Oryctolagus cuniculus: one gene and its partner. The protein of the gene in region 2 purifies or fractionates together with the protein of the main gene of each other region. This does not show direct contact. Links are inferred from orthologs where the notes say so. Each region holds a gene or a part of one and is shown on either strand. Other genes may lie near its edges.

Region 1 (4,456 bases), on a different chromosome or scaffold from region 2:
TATTGATATGGGGCCCAGAACAGGCAGCGAGTCAGGATTAAATGAGCTGGAAAGTAGTCTACAATTTCTGTCTCCAGCCCCGCAGCTCACACACCAACCCCGCGTACTCACGTCCCCATGATGCACCCAGGCCTCCTATACAGAAGACCCCACGTGAGACGCCTGCCACGAAACCCTGGCTGGCCTCACACACCACAGCGCACCCACGCCACACGGGCACACTCACTTAGGGGCCTTCCCCGCCCTCACACACCACAGCACACCCACTGCACACGGGCACACTCACTTAGGGGCCTTCCCCGCCCTCACACACCACAGCACACCCACTGCACACGGGCACACTCACTTAGGGGCCTTCCCCGCCCTCACACACCACAGCACACCCACTGCACACGGGCACACTCACTTAGGGGCCTTCCCCGCCCTCACACACCACAGCACACCCACTGCACACGGGCACACTCACTTAGGGCCTTCCCCGCCCTCACACACCACAGCACACCCACTGCACACGGGCACACTCACTTAGGGGGCCATCCCCGCCCTCACACACCACAGCACACCCACTGCACACGGGCACACTCACTTAGGGGGCTTCCCCGCCCTCACACACCACAGCACACCCACTGCACACGGGCACACTCACTTAGGGGCCTTCCCCGCCCTCACACACCACAGCACACCCACTGCACACGGGCACACTCACTTAGGGGGCTTCCCCGCCCTCACACACCACAGCACACCCACTGCACACGGGCACACTCACTTAGGGGGCCATCCCACCCCATAAAAGGGGTCACGGGACGTGGGGCGGCCTTTTCCAGCCTTCTCACGCGCGCGCTCTCTCCTCGTGAGCACCTCTCGACAAGGGGCCGCCACACTCATACCTGAATGTATACTCACTCTCTCCCTTTAAATAACCTCGCCTCTGTCTTGAATTCTTATCTCCCACAGGAGCCAGATATTGGAACAAAGACGGGGAGACTCGTCCCTCCAACTGCGGATCCCCCGACTCTTCCCTCCCCTGCCTGGGTCCCTGCTGCCGCGCCCCCACGACACTCACTGGCCGACAAATCTACTGAGTGAGCGTGTCAGGCCAGACTCGGTGCTTCGTCAATAGTCACCAGATAAACGGACGCATCCATCCCCGATCCAAGGATCAAGACCACCCTCTGCCGGCGTGCAGAGTTAGAGTGACACTCCACGGTGGAAACACGGACCCAGCAGACTCACGTTCCTTCCTCCTCCACACCTCTCTGCAAGCTACTGCCATCCCACTGCGGAACGGCCACCCGACAGTGCAGAGTGTTCAGTTCCAGCTCTGTGTGTTCTTGGCCAGAGCGCTTAACTCTGCTTAACTGGTGCACCAAATTCACCCTTACCTATCCCACGGGAGCCCTGGGAAGACCAGCTGCGAGACCACCACGACACTGTCACCCGGTCCTCCCGGCAGCCGCTGTGCCAGCTCCTGGTGGCTGCCACGGCACCAGGCCACGGGTAAGGATGCGGAATGGCCTGCGCTGCGCGGGCCACAACCACACACTCCTCACACGCTCTAAGCCGCAAGCTCCTTCCTGCCGGATCCGAGGGAAGCAGCACCTGAGAGGCTGGGGCACCTGGCACAGCGACTCGGACAGCACCGCGCCAGGGGTCACCGACAGCACGTCTGCCTCCCAGCTTCCCACACACAGGCTCAGCGCTGCGCCAGCACTCACCCCCAGCCTCACCCAGTCCCACCTCGCCCACAAAGCCTCGGTTTCTCTCCATCGTCAATTTGTTTACTGATCATTTCAAAGTTAGGGAGGGAGGGAGGGAGGGAGAGAGAGAGAGGGAGAGAGAGAGAGATAGGGATTTGCCATCCACTGCTCCGCCCCCCAAGCGCCGGCAACAGCCAGAGCTGGGCCAGGCCAAGACCAGGGGGGGCTGGTCGCCATCCAGTCTCGCACCTGGGTGGCAGGGTCCGAGTACCCGGCGAGCACGGCTGCCCACAGCACGAAGGCAGAGTGGACAACACGGCCGGGACTCGAGCCCCAGGGCTGTGATGCGGGATGCGGGCCTCACGCGGCGCGCCAGGCGCCCAGCCCTCAGCCCCCATTTCTCTTTCTTCCCTCCCAGCTGGTTCCGGCCCACAGCCGGCCTTGCAGAGCCCCCTGAAGCCCACCTTCGCCGCGCCCGTGGCGGCCGGGTGCGGACCACGCTCGGTACACGCTTACTGCAAGTGCCAACTTCGCCGGGTCGCTCCCAACTCGCGACCAGCCCAGCCTGGGAGGCGTGCACCCCGAGTCCGGAGGCGACCCTAACCGCCCCTCCAGGGCCGCCCTGGGCCGGCGAGCGCGCAGGTACCCCCCGGCCAGCGGGGCGCCCCCCACCACCCGACCCCCGCCCCGCCCCGCCCCGCCCGCGGCTCCCGCCCCTCCCACCGCGCAGCCGCGCCCACGGGAGGGAGGCGCGGCCCACACCTGTGGCCGCCTCACCTGCAGCACCAGGGCCTGCGCCGCCCCCGGCGGGAAGCCCATGCGGTCCGACGGCTGGCGCAGCAGGCGGTAGAAGTCAGTCTTGCGGTAGAGGAAGCCAAACAGCACGCGCAGGAAGTCCTGCACGTTCCCCACGTGCTGCAGGATGCCCAGCAGGGCCTGGTCGTACAGCTCCGCAGCCCCGGGCTCCATGTCGCCGTCGCTGTCGCCACCCAGGGACGCGCACACCGCGGGTCCCGCGGACCGCCGACCGCCACTTCCGGCGCGCGCCCAACCGCTCCCCCGGACAGCTCACCCGCGGAACTTCCGGTCCGCCCTCGATCTGCCCCGCGACCCCGAGCGGCCCCCACTCGCCACGTCCCGAAGATCCCGCCGCGCTTTTCCTAGGACAGCGCTCTCCGAAAGAGCCGGGTCTGGGACCAGACAAAGCTGCTACGCGCAGGAAAGCCCGTGGCAGCCGTGCGAGGGCCGGCTGGCGGCCATGTCTGAAGCGGGCGGAAGAGCCGTGGCGAGGGCAGCGTCACGTGATCGCGGGAGTTTGGTCACGTGGTGCGGGAAGCCTCGTCCCTCCGGGTGTCCCCAGCCGCTGTTGGGAGCGTGCGACCCTGCTCTTAACGAGGGCAAATGCGTGCGTGTGGTTTGTGTGGGTTTCTGTGGGGGAGCTTGAGAAGCAGAGAAACGCCGAGCGTGTGTGTCCACGCACATGCAGGGAGTCCAGTGTGCAGTCGTGTGAAAAACACGGGTGCGTGGGGGTCCAGCAGCCTGGACTGGTCAGACAATAATAATGACGACGATGAACGCTAATGCGCATATCCGTCGTAAATACACCCGTGTCTGTCGAAGCGTATCTTAAAAACGGAAAACACGATACTCACAAAAATGTGCAGTGAACGCAGATCCAAGAGGTGTGGAGACATCCAGCGAGATGGCTGAGCGTGCGTTCGAGCTGGGTCACAGGTTTTCAGGGAGTGGGAGCTGGAGAACACGCCGCCCTGTCGTTAGGCTGCTGGCGCCCACAAGACGATCCAGCCGGGGTTTCTTTTCCAAGGGATGCGAATGATGTTACCTGCACGAAAAGGGAACGCGGCCTCGTGCTGCGCGAGGACGCTGTGTGTGCAAGTGAAAACCAGGCGAGGGCGGGCGCTGTGGCGGAGCGGGTGCAGTCTCCGTCTGCAGTGCGAGCGTCCCACATGCTGCTCCACTTCCCATGCAGCTCTGCTGTGGCCTGGGGCAGCAGTAGAAGGCCCAAGTCCTTGGGCCCCTGCACCCACGTGGGAGACCCAGAAGAAGCTCCTGGCTCCTGGCTTCAGATGGGTGCAGCTCTGGCCGTTGCGGCCAACTGGGGAGTGAACCAGTGATGGAAGACCTCTCTCTCTGTCTCTGTCTCTCTCTCTCTCCCTCCCTCCCTCCCTCCCTCCCTCTGCCTCTCTGGAACTCTGCCTTTCAAATAAATTAATTAATTTTAAAAAGAAGAAGAAAACCAAGTGAAACTGTTACCGTAGAAATGGCAGGGTTCTTGTCTTCGCACAAGAAAGAATTCGGGCGTGAGACAGAGAGTAGTGGGAGGTAAAATAGCAAAGTTTATTAGGGTAGGGACATCCGCAAGAACCGATGGGCACCTCTCCAGACAGGACCTGAGAGAGAGTGCCCGGTCTACATTTAGGCGGGGTTTTTAAGGAGATGGGTCTCTGTCTTCTCACATTTCCTCCTGAAACAAAGGATTTTATGGCTGTAAATATTAAGAAACTCCTATCTGGGTTTTCCCCTGAAGGTATCAGACAGGAGGAAGCCTAGCTGGTGCCGTCCTGGGTTCAGAGGAAGGGTGAGCAGGACCCCCTAGAGAATGGGGATCAGAGCAGGGTGTTTGAAATGCAGATACTGGGCTGCACCTGGGAGGTTGTGGAAGATTTGTCAGGCAGAAGGGGCGGGGACCCCCACCTGGCAGGTTATCAGGTAGAAGGGGGCAGGGCAGGATGCGAACA
Region 2 (4,392 bases):
GTGTGACCAGAATGCTTTTATTTGTATGCTCAATGTCCACACTGCCAGGCCCCATGAAACCCGTATTAGAGTCAGAGGAGACACACAGTCCCCAGCAAGCGTAGGTAACGAGGCAGTGATTCAATGTAATGAAGGATGAAGCAGGCCCAGGGCGGTCCTGTGCAGGAAGCCGAGTGAAGACCAGCTGGGAGAACGAGGAAAGAGGTGTCCAGGCTATGAAACGAGGCAGTGCAAAGGCCCTGAGGTGTGTGCGTGGCAGGCCTCTGCTCAAGGAAGAGCAAGAAGGCCAGTTTGATTGGCACACACTGAGAGGGGGGATGTGGCGGGCAATGAGGTCACAGATGAGACAGAGGTCACATTCCACAGGCCTTTGTAGGCCACAGTAAGGACTTTAGCTTTTTTTTTTTTTTCCTTGATTTTGATGGAGGGTTTTGAATGAGGAAGCAGCTTGACTTATTGCCTTATGGGGAGGAAGAATCCACAAGGGGGCAAGAGAAGAGCAGGGTAGGGTGAGAAGGCTGCTGCAGGAGTCGAATGGTGCTAGGTCAGGGGCTGTTGGTGGAGGCTTCTAGAAGCAGCTGCACACTGAGGAGGGCCTGCCTAGAAGCTGCAGGACTCGCTGAATGCGATGAAGGCTGCATGACCCCAGGTTCCTGTTCGTGGGGAAATGATGGCGCTCCCACTTGCCTGGGGAACGGTGAGATGCCAGGGATAGTCAGGAGTTGATTTCCTGGCGTCTGTGGACACGTGCCTGGGGATGCCAAGGGGCCGCCAGCTCAGCAGCTGGAGGGGACGCGGGGACGCGGGGACAGCAGCTCTGAGGTGCTCTCTGTGGAGAGAAGAGTCCTTCCTCCCTGTATGCGGCAGGTACTTACCGAGCCCCTACTGTGTGTGTCCGGCGTCGTGCTGGGTGCGGGGTCTGGACAGAGATGGTCACTCACTCCGTGGAGCATCGTGGCCAGTTAATTAGTGCACTGGTGCCCAAGACACCTCTCTGGCGACTGTAAACATACAGAGCCAACGTTGCAGGCACGGAGAGGTTCTCTGACTCAGCGATTTGGAAGCGCTTTGATTTTTCGGAAACAAAAGAACTATATTTAGATTTGGACACATGACAGACCTACCCAATAAAATGTCTGAGGACTACCTCAAGATGAATCAGAAGAGACGGTCTCGACCAAATTAATGTTTACGAAGAGTCAGGTTGGTGTCATGGAAAAGCTTACAGGGCTGGAAGGCAGAAGGGCTGCGCCTCGGTCTGCGTGGGCCCTGCTGGGCCGCGTGCGACCTTCACTCAGGTTTCACGCACATGGATGTTGGATTTGAGGTGAGAGTTCTGAAAAGTTTTTTATTTTTTTTAAATTTTTTTTATTTTTGACAGGCAGAGTGGACAGTGAGAGAGAGAGACAGAGAGAAAGGTCTTCCTTTTGCCGTTGGTTCACCCTCCAATGGCCGCCATGGCCAGCATGCTGCGGCCAGCGCACTGCGCTGATCTGAAGGCAGGAGCCAGGTGCTTCTCCTGGTCTCCCATGTGGGTGCAGGGCCCAAGCACTTGAGCCATCCTCCACTGCACTCCCGGGCCACAGCAGAGAGCTGGCCTGGAAGAGGGGCAACCGGGACAGAATCCGGTGCCCTGACCGGGACTAGAACCCGGTGTGCTGGCGCCGCAAGGCGGAGGATTAGCCTAGTGAGCCGCGGCGCCGGCCCAAAAGTTTTCAAACTGTGAGTTGTTCCCCTGCCGTTCAGTACTGCTTTTACTGGCCTCTCTCTCTTATTGTGAAAGTCCAAATCCCCAAGGGCATCCGTCTCTTGACTCGTTTTTCAAAGCAAGAGAACCTTCTTCTTTCTGCAAATGGAAATTGCTTTCTTGTTTTTTATTTTCCTGGTTGTAAAAAGGGCACATGGCTCATGCAGAAAATACAAATGGGGGAAAGTGCAAAGGTAGCAAAAGTCTCTAATACCACTCGCATGGTAGCGTCAGTGTCCCTGTGCCCGCAGCACGTCAGATGGCAGGTGTCTAAACACTTGTTGAGTGAGTGATTACTGTTGATCTCTTGCAAACATCCTTTTTGGTTCTCAGATAAAACAAAACCATTTATCTGAGACTGAAACTGCCAAGATGTTATCACATCTCTTAGATGACGTTGCACAATGGCACCTGATTTCTGACACCTATGGAATGTGGGGGAACAATAACATGATATTCCCCACTCTCTTGGCCATAATGTCAAGGGCGGCTTGGTTTGAGCAATATCAAGAAAGGCTTCAAAACAGTCCCAGGCTCCACGGGAGTGGCTCCTGCAGCAGTGGGAGGCCGGCTCTGCCTCCCAAATCCTCCCTCCCACACCTGGGCCCTCTTCCTTCCCCAGGGCACCTGAACCCAACTCAACACTTCCTACTGGCAAAGCAAGATGGCTCCCTGATTCCCTCTAAAATGAATTAAAGCCAGATGCTGTCTGCAGCCCATGCTTCTTCAGTCTCCAAATGGAATGTGTTAATACTGACAAACCTGACTGTTCACTCTGTTGAAGAACTGTCAAATCTGGTACCACTGGACTCTTACCCTACAGAGCCATCAGTTCCCCATAACCACCTCACCCCTATGGTCTGACACCCCAAATCCCGTTCTGCTTTGGTCATGTACCTGACTCCCACCCCTAGCTCATTATGTGACGCATTCAGGGTTCTCCCGTCAAGCACCAGTCACTGGGGACACGAGAGGACGCAGGAGCTTAGGGGAAGACTTTTAACCAACAAATGGTGGTGCGGTGTGGCAGGTGCAGCACACAGGCATGGACACAGCGCAGGGGAGCTGACTGCGGGGGTCGAGGCTGAGCTACAGGAAGAGTGAGTTCACCACGCGATGGAGGCGCAAACCATGCAAACCGCGGGGGTGGCAGAACTGTACAGGTGTCCTGCCCTCCGGCCCCCTCAGGCCAGCAACTCCTCCTGGCCTACACGGGTCTGTCCAGGAGCCTCCGGCCCGGTCCTCTCGTTGTTTCCTTCTGTCAATAACCGCAGGTCCACGTGTGCCCAGAGGAGGCTGACTAATCCCACCCTCCTCCAGTTACTTCAGCTAAGGCCGCCCTCCCACTCCAGGATGGCCGGCCATCTGACCCTGGTGGAAGACGTAGCACTCCACACTCAGCATTTTCTTTCTTTTTTTTTCTGGACAGGCAGAGTTAGAGAGAGAGAGAGAGAGAGAGGTCTTCCTTTACCGTTGGTTCAGCCCCCAAGAGGCTGCTATGGCCGGCACGCTGCGCCAATCCGAAGCCAGGAGTCAGGTGCTTCCTCCTGGTCTCCCATGAGGGTGCAGAGCCCAAGCACTTGGGCCATCCTCCACTGCCTTCCTGGGCCACAGCAGAGAGCTGGACTGGAAAAGGAGCAACTGGGACAGAACCCGGCGCCCCAACCGGGACTAGAACCCAGGTGCCAGCGCCACAGGCAGAGGATTAGCCTAGTGAGCCGCGGTGCCCTTTCTTTCTTTAAAGATTTATCTTTTTTTACTTGAGAGTCAGAGCTACACAGAGAGGAGTGGGGGGGGGAGGGAAAGAGAGAGGTTTTCCATCCGCTGGTTCACTCCCCAAATGGCCGCAACGGCTGGAACTGTGCCGATCCGAAGCCAGGAGCCAGGAGCTTCTTCTGGGTCTTCTGGGTCTCCCATGCAGATGCAGGGGCCCAAGGACTTGGGCCATCTTCTACTGCTTTCCCAGGCCATAGCAGAGAGCTGGATCAGAAGTGGAGCAGCCAGGACTCGAACCAGCGCCCATATGGGATGCCGGCACTTCAGGCCAGGGCGCCAGCCCCCGCAGTCATATTTTCAAGTAGCTACATTTTGCAGTGAACTTTCCCTGCCATATGTCGTTTTTGACTCTAATGACAATCCACTTGAGGAAAAAAAAACCACAAATAATGTGTATAACTGATTTAGAAAAAATTTATTAAGCGCCTATAGTCACAGTTCCCTCCATCTGACATTCAGTGAGCACCACTGTGTGCCCAGCACTGGGCTTGGCGCCGGCGAGTGGTGCCAAGAGACAATGAACATACAAGCTAGGAGGCGGCCTGCATAAAGTCATCGCAGCGAGTTTCCGGCCCGAGCAGCGTTCAAAGTACAGCAGCTCCTTGGAGAAAGGCGCGCCAACGGCTCCCGGAGTCGCTGGGCAGGAATCCCGGAGCAGACAGGCTCTGGGTGCTTGCCTTGTGCTTTATTTTTTATTATGTTTTTCGACATGCACAGTACTGAGAACAGAACCACCAACCTCCACACGCCCATCTCCCGGCCTCAACAGCAGGTCACCTCCGACCCCCGCTGCCCCTTGAAAGCAAAGCCTACACACTGTAATTTTTGCATCCATCAACCCCGAGCTGCGTGTGAGGAAGAACTGGGAA

Evidence for each region.
Region 1: the proteins of GAN (region 2) and NUDCD3 purify together in Homo sapiens (co-immunoprecipitation; 3 studies listed by BioGRID and IntAct, counting the BioPlex papers as one, with this or other methods). This does not show direct contact. The link is inferred for Oryctolagus cuniculus from reciprocal best matches to the Homo sapiens genes GAN and NUDCD3.

The regions. Positions count from the first base shown.
Region 1 is NC_091447.1:51,876,713-51,881,168, forward strand, and holds the start of NUDCD3 (nudC domain-containing protein 3), read right to left. Parts: upstream 3,008-4,456; 5' UTR 2,667-3,007; coding exon 2,475-2,666; intron 2,182-2,474; exon of another isoform or gene 2,162-2,181; intron 1-2,161.
Region 2 is NC_091449.1:63,462,297-63,466,688, forward strand, and holds the start of GAN (gigaxonin), read left to right. Parts: upstream 1-1,344; 5' UTR 1,345-4,392. UniProt on the Homo sapiens protein: Probable cytoskeletal component that directly or indirectly plays an important role in neurofilament architecture.